Linked DNA regions of Drosophila melanogaster. The protein of the gene in region 1 interacts with the protein of each later gene in a pairwise test. Each region holds a gene or a part of one and is shown in the gene's direction. Other genes may lie near its edges.

Evidence for each region. The genes of interacting proteins can lie anywhere in the genome.
Region 2: the proteins of RhoGAP18B (region 1) and Pli interact in a two-hybrid assay, tested with the Drosophila melanogaster proteins (2 studies listed by BioGRID).

What each region holds. Positions count from the first base shown.
Region 1 is NC_004354.4:19,152,824-19,161,746, reverse strand, and holds the start of RhoGAP18B (Rho GTPase activating protein at 18B), read left to right. Parts: upstream 1-3,545; 5' UTR 3,546-3,627; intron 3,628-6,745; 5' UTR 6,746-6,793; coding exon 6,794-8,719; intron 8,720-8,923.
Region 2 is NT_033777.3:23,885,036-23,891,847, reverse strand, and holds the start of Pli (pellino), read left to right. Parts: upstream 1-1,795; 5' UTR 1,796-2,154; intron 2,155-2,656; exon of another isoform or gene 2,657-2,728; 5' UTR 2,729-2,780; coding exon 2,781-2,791; intron 2,792-6,812. Other genes in the region: tbrd-1 (testis-specifically expressed bromodomain containing protein-1), read left to right, coding at 1-137; TfIIA-S (Transcription-factor-IIA-S), read left to right, coding at 893-964, 1,021-1,269. UniProt on the Drosophila melanogaster protein: Scaffold protein involved in the Toll signaling pathway via its interaction with pelle/pll kinase.

The sequences.
Region 1 (8,923 bases):
TTTCATTTACTTATTCAAGCTTCTGTTCCTGTCAACACGAACGTTTGCAAAATGCATAAATACACGTTTCGAAAACTAATATCTTTCAGTTCAATTCTTTGACCAAGCAATTGATAGGGAAATATGGTTAAAATCGGGAATAGTTTACACAGTAATGCAACGGTTTCTCAAAATTTACAAGGTTCTGTGTGTGTGTAAGGTTTATTGCGTTTTTAAAAAACAAAACTAATTTCATAATATTGAACAGGCCCTCTCTAATTCACACTTTTCTCATTAGCCACACAATCGTTTAAATGCTATTAATTAAGAGGCGTAAAGCACTTACAAATGCAGTGCATATTTATTGCATACTTCACACCATTTTACGCAAATTGTTTTTCCATTTTATCAATTATTGACTAATTCATCGGATTAGATTTCATGCTTGAATGGTATAAAACATCGAATGAGTCACAGGCGATGGTCAATAAAAAGTACCAATTAAGGCAGTTTTTTTGTATTTTTATTATTTTACCAGCAGCTCTTTACTTTACTTTTGAGGCGTTGACAAAAGCTGCTGGCTTCGGTCACCCAGCACACACACACACACACACACTTACACACAGCCACTCCCCACTCCCCTCTTTTCAACTCGATCTATCTGTTGCTGCTGCTGTCGCGCTTAATAAAATTCATTAAAAAAGGAGAAGACCGCCGTCCAACAATAATAATCATAAAGTGAACTCAGTGGAGAGGGGGGTGAAGAGGATGCATGTATTGGGGGAGGGGGAGTAAACACCAATACAGCCACATGCAACATTCAACGCAGAAATAGAGTTGCCATTCCAACTATTTAATTGCTAGTCAAGAAATAGCATTTTTTTTTAATCTTTTGCAAATTATTTGAGAATGAAGTTTTCTGCATTTTCAGAAACCAACTGAAAATATTAAAAATTAAAATTATTATTAAAATACACTTTATTTATGCACACTATTAGATATTATTATACATTTAGGATATACTACACATTTAAGATTAGATAAAATTGTATAGAATCTCTCCGCTTATCATAACTGCATATTGAGGCTTATTATATACACATTGAAATATTGAAATGCACTTGTTACTCGAATCCATCGGGTTTTTACTGTCGGATCTCGACAACACTGAGTTGCAGTCGCTGCCAACTCATTACCGACGGAAACATAATGCTGCCAAAGACGCGAGTCTGGTTCTGGACAGGGATGTGGATGTGGATGTGAGTGGGGACGGGGCTGTGGATTTGGTTGGGACATGGACGGGACTTGGACAGGGCCATCAGCCATCAACCATCATCCACGGGCCATGAGCCGTGGGCCACCCCTTTTAATTCTTCGTTTGTTTTTTTTTTTCGGGAAAAGAAGGCGGCCGAGGAACCCGCAGAAAAGCCAAACCAAATATGAGTCGGGGCAAAAAAAAAAAAAAAAGATGGAAACTGAAAGCGAAAACATGAGAAATATGTTCTTCAGGAATTAATTTACCAAGCACTGCGAATGTTAAATGCCCTACTCCGAGATATAATTCATAATTTATTAGCCGAATAAATATATATTAAATATATTTGGGTTTCAATTTATGCACTTAAAACTCATATGTGGTGGCGTGCTTTAAGATAGATATTAAATCTATAGTGTAAATCCCACACTTAGTCAACCCTAGAAAACCCTATGATTTATTGGTATATTCCTGCATATACACATACATACATAAAAGTACATATGTATGTATGTAGGGTAGCCGATAGCAAACAGTTGAATGCAATGTTGGTCACAGCCTGAATGCATTTCTTTATTTCGGTATGTGTGCGTATTTGTTGTTTTGTATCCGCATCTGTATTTGTATTTGTATTCGTATCTGGTGGATACATTTGATGCCGTCGGCAGCGAAGCCAACAACAACAATTGTGTTCATTGTGCTTAATTAATTTAGTTCAAAGATCAAGCGACCATATTGCTGAACATCGGCTGCAATGCGATTCTTCGCCGGCCTCTGCTCATTTTCATTTTTATTTTCATTTTCATTTTTATTTTTATTTTCATTCTCAGTCTCACTCTCATTCGCCTATTTTTTAAGTCTCTTCCCCGGAATTGTTGTTTTTTCCCCAAAGATGCATCCTCATCTTTTCTTTCTCTATTTGCTCCCGGTTCTGTTTTATATGGATTCCGATTTTTGTAAATATCGGTCGTGTACTATATGGATCTTCAAAACATGATTGCGAGCAGTATTATGAGGAACAGGATTATGAGGATTGGTTTCAAAATTCAATAAGAAATAAGAGAGCTTACGGTTCGTGCTGAAAGTGCAGTTCTCATTTTCATATCGGAATTGCTTGCAATAAAGTGTTGAGCAAAAGTATGTATGTACATATGTATATGCATATCGTAATCGGTTTACGCAACTGTTGTGCATAAATTGAACAGTGTTTAGCATTCATCATGGTTACTTACACAGCTCGATCCACCCGCCCAGCACCGCCCCCTCTGCGGTCCCAGAACCGACCCCAGCCCCCCCCTTTTTTTGCACCCCCTACTCCCAACTCAGCCGAACTGAAAAACAAACTCCCAACCCTCGACAGCACCCCCCCCCCCTTTACCACCCTCCTTCAGGGACCGCACTCGATATGCTTAATTAGGCAACGGGCGTTGAGTATAAAAAGCGTCTTTTGTCGCTGCCACGCCCCACCCTTACCCTCTCACCCCCTCATTAGCCCATGCCACCCCCAACCCTTACACACACACGCACATTCGTGAATGTGGTGGCGCACAGCCAGACAGAGCCACACATGTTGCCCATGTTCCATTACACACATGTGGTTCGGTTTCAGTTCAGTTTTAGGTTTGTTCTGCTCTGCGCTGTTCTGTTCTGTTCTGGGCTTTTGCCTCCCCATCACTGATCTCTGGCCCACACTGGTCAGCATGACATGGGTACGAAGGATAGTTTCAAGCTCGGTTGACATGAGTCATAGTTTCACCGATGATGAATCACAGCTCATAATGGTCCATAGTCATGGTCATAATAATGATCCATAGACTTTGCCTATAAAAGTAAATAACTGTAAGAAATGTATTAGACAAGGCAAGAATTTCTATTGAATCTTATATTAATTTAAAAAGTTTTATTCTAAAGAAACTTATTGATGATATAATTTTGTAAGGCTGGCATATATAGTTAGCATTTATAGTTTTTAAAAATACTGATATATCCTGTAATATATGTATTATATTTCATTTGAATATCTGAAATATTTGAAATTACCCGCTTATAATTCCCAACTTGCTTTTTCATCGGAAGCAACAAAATTTTGTTGCGGGCTTTGGGGGTTAGTGCCCACTTTTGCTGACTAGTGTGGAGTGCTCGAGTTCCCTGGGTGACCGGAGGTCGGCATCGCCATAGCCATAGCCACCGCCACCGACTCGTGGCGTCGACTGCGACTGCGACTGCGACTGCGCGGCGACTGCGACGTCAATCGCTTACGAGGCGGACCGCCACCCAAGAAAATTCTCGGCGGCATCTTGAGTTCAATTTCAGTTGATATTCTGTTAAATTCGCGAACGCGTCGCGCCTGCAGCTCCCGATTTGATGGAGAGCCCCACCTCAAGCCCAATTTCGTAATGCTCCCATTTAAAGCTCGGCTTATCAGTGCTGGCCAAAATCGGTGCTTTTTGTTTTGGTGCTCGGGTTTCGGTATTGAAGCCCACCAAGTGCCTCGATCGATCTACAATAGTTTTAATAATAAAACAGTGCATTTGGGGAAATTGGAGAGAAAGTGAGATAAGCGCTGCGAGATAACGGGACCAATCCCGTTTTATTTGTTCCTTCCTTTCGCCCATAATATGGGTGTGTGTGCTCATGTGTTTCTTGTGAATTACAGTATATTGCTTTTACAATGGCATTCATCGTCATTTATTCATTTGTCGCGCCATCTGAAAATGAACGGCGATGAATCATCGGCATAGGCAAATCAGCGGATTACCCACAATCCACACTGATTGCATTGCTGTCTCCTTGGGGGCTGCACAATTTGGACAGGTTTTATTGACGGGGTCAAGAAGGTCTCGATCGAATGCCCAAAAGTATGCAAGTTTATCACCAAGGCGCCCGAAAAACCAAAGTTTTGCGGTTTTGTTTTTTTTGTATTTGAGGAATCAAACTATAAACTGTGTATTTTGCCAGTGTTTGAAGTTAAACTTAGTTAATTGGGTTCAACAAAATATATATCATAATCATATTAAAAAATATAATATTCAATTGGTTGTGCTACAGCTATTTTTATAGCTATTTATAACGAAACGGATTTTCTGAATGAAAATTTTTAAAAAAGTATATGAATTCGGTATCAATATATTTTTTCTATGCTATTGCTGCATTTTGGTGATTCGTATCAGTACATAAAAACATTTTATTAATGAAATTTTAACACTTTAAAGTGAATCGCAAGCATTTCTTAAGTCATGAAGGATTTGAAATATATACTTTCAAAATTTCCAAAATGAACAACAAGCCCAGTGATGTCAGGCTTCTAAATAGTTTATTCACTTATTTATTAATAACTATGCTTCAGAACCTTCAGACCCTAGGGATTCAATTTAAGAATTGTTTATTTTGTAGAAAGCTAATTAGTTCAGAGAAATGCTCCTAATGAGACCACAACAATTATATTAGTGAAAACACAGTCAATCAGTTATGAAGAATTCCACAAGCCTTTTGTTTGCTATTAAAATTCAAATAGTTTGGAACAATTAAGTGTATGGCTCTTTGTTAAATTATTTCTCGGATTGTTAATATATCACGCAAGTAATTAATCAAGATTTTCTATTTAAATAAATTCGGTTTCTGTATAATTTGTGTGTTTTTTATCAGAGAAATGAATATCTTATAGAATGTTCTGTAAAATTATCTTTTAAAGGACAACCCAAACATGATTATAAAGAATTGAAAATTAATAATACAGGTTATTGTCCAAGCAAACAAGACAACCATTGACCATTGACCCTGATTCTAGACCAAAGTATGATTAACAACACCGTGAAAACGCTTTTACCTACCAACCAACCAACATTTGTGGTACCTAACGATCCAAATCTGTTGTATTTTGAAATATGGTGGTAGGCTACTCTCGACTGGATTTGAATCAGTTTTATTTAAATGACGCTGTAACAACAATTGGTGGTGTTGGAGAATGCGAAACATGTTTTAAGCACCTAAAACCCCTAACCGGTTTCCCCTTTCCGCCCCAAGCCGATTATGATTAATGGCGGCGATCCTAGATCAAAGAATTACGAATAATACGAAGCCCCCGAAGAAGATTTCAAGATCTACCATCGAGATAAACATGATTTCCCCACTTACGCCGATCGAAAGATTAATGCACGGACCCTCGTTTCTTGGCACCTTAACTCCATTAGGCTCACTCTCGCCTTCCGTTCGGGATAACTGTGCACTTGAAAAAAAAAGATAGAATATACATATATTAATATATGTAAAATGAAATTTTGCATATTTCCGTTTTGGTTTTTCAGTAAGAAGGAATTGTAGAATTCTTGTAATATTTTAAATTCCCAAAATCAGTGGCTACTATTTTTTGCCAGTGTGAACTGAGCACATTCCATATTCCACACACCATGTTCCACATTCCATCTACCTGGCGGCACCTGTGAGGCGTAGGTGAGGAAGTCGACGATCGTTACACAATTCTCGACTGGCCGCCAACCTGTTTCTGTTTCTCCGGGGTTTTCTCTGGGGTTTCTCGCCCCTCTCCGCTCTCTTCACCCAGTCATGGCCATCATTTTGAGTCCGAGGGATAAGGACGGGGGTTACGAGAGGACCGACATGGTTTGGTGGATCGGTTAGTGACTCATCTCCGTATATCAACGAAAAACAAAGCTCAAAAGCAGAAGCAGCACTGTGGAATTCTAGTCAGATGAAATGCATTGGGGTTTTTTTTACTTTAAACATTATTTGCATTTAAGCATCAAATGTTTTAGGGCAAACAAACAATTCATTTTAGAGCTCTAAACTGATTAGTGATAAGTGCTCTGGATCTTTTTGGGCGTGAAATATACAGAGATATTGGGTCTAGTTACACATATATTGAATACAGCAATGGGTTCCAATAATATTTTATCAAAATAGCTAATATATGTAAATATTAGAAGAAATGGTAAAGAAATTCACGATAACAGGGTCATATTATTAAAAGCTGTTTGCAATTAGATTCGAAAAATTCATCCTTTAAATTCCCAGATTTAAAAAAAGTCAAGCCAAAGAATTGTGTTTTGAAGGCAAAGCCGATGGTTTGGAGGAAAACTGAGTGCAGAGTGCAGCGACTTTGGCTGAGATAATGAATATCGCTGATTGCAGTCGGAAGCGGGAGGGAAAGAGACAGAAAGAAAGAAAATGAGGGTAGTGGCATCACTTAAAGAGTTCAAGCCCATTGACTTTTCTCAGTGATTACACTGCGAGAACTAAGGTCGTTTTTGGGGTGTTTCTCAAAAAATAATAGTGAGTAATCGAAGATTACAAGTTATTCAATTCACTCGAGTGAGAAATTTAAGAAGAGCCATTCGAGCATTTCCAAATCGAATTTATGTTAATTAAATACCTTCGCGACATTTCTTTTGCGGTGCACGAAATTCTCTCGATGACAGTGCTCTCACTTACTATCTCTCCAATTGCCCCGCTCGGCGATTATTTTCTCACTTAATAATGAATTACGATGTGACGCAGCGGCGATAAGAGAAAGTAGGGAGGCAGAAGAAGAAATAAAGAAGAGAGATGCCACAGCAGGCGAAGGACATTAACGATAACGTCGGCATGGAGGCGCACATCTACGAGAATCTGCCGGGCCTGACCTCCACCCCCAAAGGTCACCTGAATGCGGAGCTGCGCAAGTATTTTCCGCGCGAGGCGATCTACGAGAATCTTTGTCGGGGTTGCGGCTACGGCGTGTTTGCCGCCCAAGGACGCTACTGCCATTTCTGCCAGTGCATCGTGAGCGGGGGCGTGGTGAGTACACCGCCTCCCCCACCGCCACCGCCCCTTTCGACGATTTCCGGCGAGAGCAGCAACATCTATGAGAACATCTGCGATTTGTGCCGCGGCATTTATAGCGACAACGAGCGGTGCCGGTGTCAAAGGTCAGAGACGCCAGCCAAAGCGCCCGCACCGTCCACACCAACCACACCGCCCACACCACCCACCAAGGTCAAGTCGCGGTCGCTCTTGGGCTACTCCAAGTCCAGTGCGGCGACCTTGACCCGTCTCTTTGGCTCTCTTAAGCAGCTGAACCGTTCGTCGTCGCTGCAGCGCAGGATATTCCCGAGGACACCCACGACTGGCAGTAGCAGCGCTGGCTCCCTGGAGATCATCCACAACGTGGACGAGGTGTTCCGCACCCAGGAGACCTTTGACCTCCAGCGCATTTGCGAACTCAAGCTAGAGCAGCAGCAACTGAAGGGCAGCCAAAGCGATCAGCACATCTACGGCCGCGTAAGAGAGCCCGAAGAGAGCCAGAGCCACAAGAGAGAGCGCAAGAGGCCGCGCGTCTCTCGCATTCGCCTGCTGCAGGACGAAAGCACATCAGGATCCTCATCATTGTATCTCAACGAGAGCATCTGCCAGTGGATGACCTCCCTGAGGCGGCAGGTGCACCACTACGACGAGGGGCCGTGGCAGCAGCCAAAGAGCGTACCAGCGCGCGATCCTTCATCCTCCGCCGAGGAGAGCACGGTCACACTGCGGAGAAGCACGGAGGAGAGTGCAAAGTGTGCGGACGAGCAGGCGAAGTTGGTCAAGGACTTTAAACGAAAGCTGCAGCAGAAGAGAGCGCACAACGTGGAGCCGGAAAGAGAGCAACGGCGCTGCGCCATCACGGCCAACTTTGTGAATGACTATCTGAGCGCACTGGGCGAAGAGAAAGAGGCAGTGCAACATCAACAGGTGGCCGCAATCGAAGAGCACGTCGCAGTCGTCGCAATCGCAATTCAGCCTCAAGTCTCTGTATCTCTCTTGCGCTTGATGCAGAGTCTCGCTCTTTCGGCCAGCTTGCACGTGAGTGTGCGTGGCTTTCTCACCGCCTATGACAAATCGTTCAGCTTGTGGCTGTGGCACCAGCAACAACAACAGCGACAACAACCACCGATCAACGGTTATCGGCGAAGGAGAGCGCGTGACTCAGTTGTTGGCGTTGTGGGGGATTGGCGACGGCGCCTGCCTCTCTTCGCCTTCTCCTTCGCCGGCGGCAACGATCGTTCGGTGGCCTCGGCTTCGGTTTCAGTTTCGCCAGCGATTTCAGAGAGCGTAGACGTGTGTGCTGCTGCTGCGTCGCGACGCCGCGCGAATCGAAGTACGAGGCGAAGAGGGACAGCGATAGTCAGGGAAGAGGGTGTGTGCGGGGGCGAGAGCTCCACTAGCAGTAACAACAGCAAGAAAAACAATAATAATAACAGTAACAACAACAGCGGAGCTTTGATGGCAGCGCCTAAGCCAAATGGCGAGGCAGAGCGCCCCTCAACAAACAGCAACAACAACACCATCAACTGCAGCAGCAACAACAACAATGACAACATCAGCAATAACAACAACAACCATCACACCGTTGACAATGAAAGCGGTATCAACAACAACAAGAATAACGACGGCAACGCCAATTGCAATGTCAATGAACAACAGCAACAACAACAACAGCAGCCAATCACACAGGTCAACACTCATTAATAAAAAGCAAAAACAAAAGCCGCATCAATCAAAGGCAAAATTAAAATGCACAGAGAGAAAAAGTTTGGGCGGTATCAACGAGCGCCACAAAAAAAAAATATATTATTTAAAAATTCAATTGACACGGTTGAATTTTACCAATTTTTTTATTAACTATAATTGGTTTGATTTCCGTAAATCAAAGTAATA
Region 2 (6,812 bases), on another chromosome or scaffold:
TTCCAAAGCCATTTATTATTAAAACGGAGTCCCTGTTTGTGCAAGAACAGCGAGTGTACAAAATGGAGCCCCAGGATGTACAAGAATTTTCACCTGGTACGGAGCCGCTGGATGACCAAACTTATGATAGCGATTAAAGTGTGTAGAATTCTACCACGGAAATGAAAAAAAATGAAAATGCAAATTATTATAATTATTATTCATAAAGAATTGTTATTAGCCTAAAATATGATTCTAATTACGAGCTACCGACATTCTCATAGTTTAATTATACCTGTATTACTAGATGCGTTGAAAAGTATGGAACAGGCAGAAGGAAGCGATTGCGATCATATACATTTGTCTATACATTTTTGATCAGGATCAATAGCCGAGTCGATCTGGCCATGTCCGTCTGTATTGATCTCATTTTGCCACGCCCACACTTTTGAAAAATGCTTAGATTTTTCTTCGTGCAAAAAAAAACACTAGCCACGCGCCTCCTTTTGCTACAATACGCCCAAAACGGTCACGACTATTTTATTCCCCAGTATCTATCGATATCCCAGAAAAATGATGAAATGTTCCCTTTGGCATTCCCACTAGCTGAGTAACGGGTATCTGATAGTCGGGGAACTCGACTATACCATTTTCTATTGTTTTTAAATTCAAAATAAAACAGTCAAGCACCAAGGTGCCACCTCTCGGTTGACATTGCAACTACGCAGAGCTAAGGTGACCAGTCGTCTTGCAATCTGGCAGCCCTATAACAGAAGTGTTCCAAAGTGTCACGCTATCGCGTGCTAACCAACACTAATCTGTTGCTTCGCATTAAAAATTTTTGCTTGACTTGACAGGTTCGTAGAAAAGTCGCAGAAGAAAAAGCTGTTCCGTCGGAATTAAGGCAGCCACTATGTCGTATCAACTGTACCGCAACACCACGCTCGGCAACACCCTGCAGGAGAGCCTCGACGAGCTGATTCAGGTGAGTTCGCGCTGGCGAAGTGAAACGCATTGTAATTTTGGGCTTCCATATTGCAGTACGGCCAGATTACGCCCGGACTGGCTTTCAAGGTTCTGCTGCAATTCGACAAGAGCATCAACAATGCCCTAAACCAGCGGGTCAAGGCCCGCGTCACCTTCAAGGCTGGAAAACTAAACACCTACCGCTTCTGCGACAATGTCTGGACTCTCATGCTTAACGATGTGGAGTTCCGCGAAGTGCACGAGATCGTCAAGGTGGACAAGGTGAAGATCGTGGCCTGCGACGGCAAGAGCGGCGAGTTCTGAACACCACCGACCCGATCTGAACACCCAATGTAACCCCACTAAACACACCATGTAACCCCACAAAACACACCATTATAACCATTACAAATAGCTGTAAGATTCGTAGGCGATAAGCTGGGTTGGAAAACGAAAACCGACCGTGCGATGCAGCAGGCATTGCAAGAAATACACTGTTAATTCACAGTTCACCGAGTCGAGTATGTTTGTTATGTATTCCGTTAAAAAAAAGGGAGTTCTTGGAAACATGAGGTGGGTATGCAAATAATTGCGTTACAAAAATCTGTAGGGCACAAAAGGGTTCTTTAATGCCATTACCAAATAGTAATGCAAAATATGTGTACGTGTGAAAACATTTATTTATTATTTGCTAATAATTGTAGTTCATTTAGTTTGAGCACTTTACAGAGCTCTGTTAGTCAGCTAATGGTGAGTGACCTCGCTAGATAGCAGTGATATGTTATTTTGGTATTTTTTAGTCACACTTTTTGGTGTAGCCATTTCGAGTGGGCTCGCTAGCCTCGCGACCTGCAGTCACACTTGCTCCAACGAACAAAAACCACCGCCCGCATAACCACGCATCGTTATTTGTTGTTGTCTACGCCGTTTAATCGCTGACAATTAACAACAAAACAATAACAGGAACGGCAGGCACTGCCTTCACTTTAAGAGAAGCCCGCGAATCGAAACTGCCAGGCGATCGAAGTCGAGGCGATTTTAAATCGAAAACGCGCGCGAGATGCGGAAAAGCCAAACGCCGCGAGCTTTGTTTATGTGTATCGGAAAATAACATAAGAAAATCCCTTAGATTCTTTGTGCGGATGAGCCAGTGCGAAAGCAATATCAATAATATCCCAAGCAGATTGCTGAATAAATCGCATTCGAGAGGTAAAAATGCAAAACGAAGTGTGATTTTGAAGAGTGTGCCTAGTGTGTGCTGCGAAGTGACTAAGCGCCGCAAAGAAAGTGGAAAAGCGGAAAAGCGGAGCTAGCGGTGGTTGGGGAGGCGAGAAGTGGGCAAGGGAAAAATCTAAAGTGCATTTATATTGCGTGCTAATCTCCGCCGTTTTCCACTGCAGAAACGTGAATATAATTACGGCGAAAGCGGATCAATTTTTCGTGCAGTCAACGAGAAAAGAAAAAAAAAAATTGAAAATAAAACCTTGCGTTGGCGTCGCAGCAGCAGAAAAATTGGAAACAAATTGAGCAGCGCCCTGTGAAATATAAATAAATTTATGTACCCCCTTCCCTTCTAGTTTTGTATGTTTCCAATTGGACTCCTGCTGCGTCTCCATCACTTTAAAAAAATACTTCTCGCCTTCTAGGAAGTAAAAGTTGCGTTGAATAGCAATTAAAATTAATCCATAATATCCGTATCGATTATTTAAAGGTTTGACTAAAAGATCGGCAAAATTAATTTCCGTCGCATTAAAATCTTTACATCAAAACTGGATTATAACAGATCCGTTGATATTGGCACTCAGCAGGAAAACAACTCGGGGGTAACCAACAAAATGGTGAAACGGTAAGTAATCGTCCAATAATCGTAAATGCATTTCAGTTTTATCAGTCAAGCCTATGTATTCTCCGATATCAAGCAATGTCGTTAACCCATTTCGACAGACCAATTAGCGTCTATGTTCGTCACAGGCAGGGTTCTACAGTCAACGCTCCATAAAGCAGATCCATAAATAAACACCAGAGCTATTGCTTAGAATGGGTTTTTTGGAAAGTGAATATAGATTACGATTAACTGTAAGTTCAAGTACAATCTTCGTAAAATTCATTTGGATTTCTTTTCTCTAGCCGAAGTTTCCTGTACTTCGTATTTAGAATGGGGATTTGCGTTGCATTCGCCGCGTCTGGTCGGGTCTATTGAACCCCAAAAGTCTGATAAACAATTTCACATTCTCACCGCATCCATATCGCACAAATTATAACGCAATTTATAATTGTTTTCCTTGTGAGAGGTTTCTGTTTTTTTCTTTTCGGTTTTGTTAATCGCTACTACGTCGCAATGCAAGATAGCTGTTTCTATTTGTGTGCGCATTTTGTCACTGCCTTGCTTTCTTTCCCCCAACTTCATGTTTTCCCACCGAACAGCGGCTCCAACAACAACCTACCCCCAAGCTGGGAAAAACACCCCCTTCAGGGTGCATTTCCATCACCCACCACCGCACCACCGAAATCTTCCTGCTTCAGCACTGAAAACTCAGAACTCCAGAACGCAACGCCGCATAAATTTCGTGTGCGTTTTTCCCCAAACAAAAATAAATTGTAAAAAACAACGCATACAGTAGGCGTGTTTTCAAAACCGGATCTTTAGTACCCTTCTATAAAATTATTCATTCGCCTATTAAGAACTGTAAGTTGCAGTCGGAAAATTAGTAAGTTCAATATAACGTTTAAATCAGGCCTCTTGAGATTTAACGTATAACCATAAAAAGTGATTGATTTCCATGTATAATCGCTCTTCGTTTGATTAGTGTAATTTAATTACTGTTTGAAGTTTAATGTTTTTATCAGTTGTACTTTTCTTTTGCTTGTTTTAATGAAATAAGTTTTTTGATTAAGTGGGATTGTCATAAGTTCAATACCACATTACACACATCAAAGTTAACTATGCAAAAGAGTTTTTAAAGATGTCTGTTTTGTGTTTTATAGAAAGCGCTTAGCTATAGTTTGTCTCTATAAAGGGTATGAAAATCTTTAGCCCACTTAATTCAATTCCTGGGATACCCTTTTTCCAGTTGGGTTAACAGATGATGACTAGTTACCGATAACTGCTTTCTATTCCCCACCATCAAGTTCAAAGTGTTTAGGGAAATGAAAACTTGAGTGAAAAGCTCTCAATGAAAATAAAAAATAACAAAAAAGTAGTGTTGCCAACACGGCGACGGAATGGGAATACCCTTCAACTTCAAACTGAAAGGATACAGCGCCATAACATCGTTGAGATGACAGCAAAATAGAAAAGCGGCATTCGGTTTAACGCATGCGCCCTGACGTCACGACTGCAGCGGCAGCAGCAACAACAACAACAACCACGAACAACGACGACAATATAATGTCCAAGTGGAGTTTGGCTTTGCAATTTGATTTTCTACACGATTTTCAGACTTTTCATCTGGGGGCCCCCAAAATAGCAAAAACAAAAAACATGGCAGCGCCTACATAAATAACTGCATACGTTGCATTCTCTTGCCCGCGCTCTCTTTCTCTCGCTCCCACTTCTTTGGGCTTCTCGCTCTCGCTTGCTTAATTATAGACTTTGTATCTAACAATTTGTATACCCTTACTTGGGTTGCTAAGAATTAATGTGGCTCTTTGTAGTGCTGTATATAAATTTCAGAGATATTAATATATTTCCACGTTGTTTAATAAATTACGGTCTAATAAAAATAAAATAATATAAAATTAACCTACACACATATATTACTGACAGGGTGCAGAGAATTCGGCTTTTCGCACTTAACTTCTCCTCTCGTTTTCCATTACTTTGTCGCGTTGTTTTTCGTGTTCTTGTTTCCTTCTCTGTCTTTCGCTGATGTTGTTGTTGTTGTTGTTCTCCAAGCAGGTTCTTCTTGCTGCATTTTTTACAGTTGTTAGGGTCTTGTTGTTGTTATTCAGTTTTTCTAGATTTTTGGTTTGATGTTTTCGTTGTCGCGCCCCCTCAGCATCATAACCCCCGCCCCTTGGCTGCTTTTCCAGAATTTTCAGGCCTTTTTCCAACTACACTACCTGCTTGCCCCTTTTATCGATATATTTTATCACAGCGGCAGTGGGTCTTATCGATGCTGTCTCGCTCGCACTCGCACACTTCCTGCCGTTTACCTGAGTCCGCGACCTGTTCCCCATGTTGTTGTTTTTGTTATTGTTGTTCCTCTGTGGCTATTCGGGTTCCTTGGTTGTTGTTGTACTTGTTGTTGTGGCTCTGGTGATCGTCTCGCAGGGATTTATGTACAAATCCACACAGCCTTCATGCATATGGCCGTGTCTGTTCTGTTCTGTTTTGTTCGGATCGGTGTTTATTAAATTCCACGACGCTTGCACAGACGCGGGTAGAAATATAGAGTCAGCTCACAGTTTAATAAAATTATTTTTTAAAAAACTTGTTATCTATATTTCTCACGAGTCAACAAATTTCTAGCTATTTAGGTAAAAACAGGATATAACAATTATGAATTCCGATGGTTTATTTTGTATTCTCTTTATCATCTTATCATTACAATGTGATAGGCCTAATTTGTGGCCTACTATCTTGGCCACCGCTGTGCGCTTGCATTTTCAGCTTTCAGTGGCTGCAAGGCGGCCGTTTGCCTTATGCTTGGAAATTTATTTGTCTGCACGCCGATCCCCATTATGTATGTTCATTGGTGTGTGTATGTATGTAGCAATGTACATATGGTTTGTATGGAATAAGTCGCTTCCTTGTATTTCTGTCCATCTCTTTCTTTCATTCATCCATCTGTTTGTTCTTTTTTGGCGATTAAAATTAAAATTTAATTCCGTCATTCTGCAGGCTGTTGTAGTGTGTATGTAGTTGTTGTTGCTTGCTCTTGTCTGGCGGCTGCCATTGCCCCGTTTTTCCATTGAGCTTGGCTTTGTTTTACGGACTTCCTTGTTGTTTTCCCCCACTCCCCTTTTTGCCAGACCACCAAACTGCAATTTTACCACCGCCTGTTGCTGTTGCGCTTAGCAACATTTTGCTTATGTTGCTCATTTGTTAAGTGCTAATTTATTTATGAAATTACCACTCCATACGACACACCATTTCTGGCTGATTCATATACACAAACGCTCGTACAAACATAATTAACTGATATTATTCATGCCCATGACTCCAGTGAATAACGCCGGAATTACTTTGCGGACAAGGGTTGAGAGATTCTCACTTTGAGGTACAAAATAAACCAACTATGTAGGCATTTTTGTTTCATTAAAACATTTTAAAGACTTTAACGAACATCCAAAGATACTGGATATTTTTCTCCAGTATGCAAATGTCTTCAAACTGAAATTTTTGTGGTTTCTATATCTCGCAGCGATTTGAACCCATTTTTTGTTTAACTCCTATGTACTTTAAAGCCGACGAAATAAATATTCTTATCAGGGCGACAGCTGCTGAGCTTATGAAGCTGATAATTTACAACGCCTTTATCATGCAAACGAAGAAATGCCAATTTTAGAAATGGGAGTTTCCCTATTTCAACTCAATTAAATGAATGAAATGTGACACAGTTTAATTTCAGGGGAGTTCCAAATGTAGAGAAGCTTAGAGTGTCAGTGCTATTTGAATTGGAAATTGTTAGCATCCGCCTCAGAATTTCATGCTCGCCTTGACAGTTCTTTAGCTGAAAGCTTAATAAACGAGGATTAACATTTCAGACTGTCTAATGGTTCTATCCCCCTTTCACAGTCTACCTTTTTTTTGGTCATTCTAGACTTACGAGCAAACTCTGGCAGTTTGAGTTACATTCTAAGTTGGCATTAAACCTGTCTCAGCTTTTCTGCTGCTGCATTTTGCATTTGCCCTTGCTTATCAT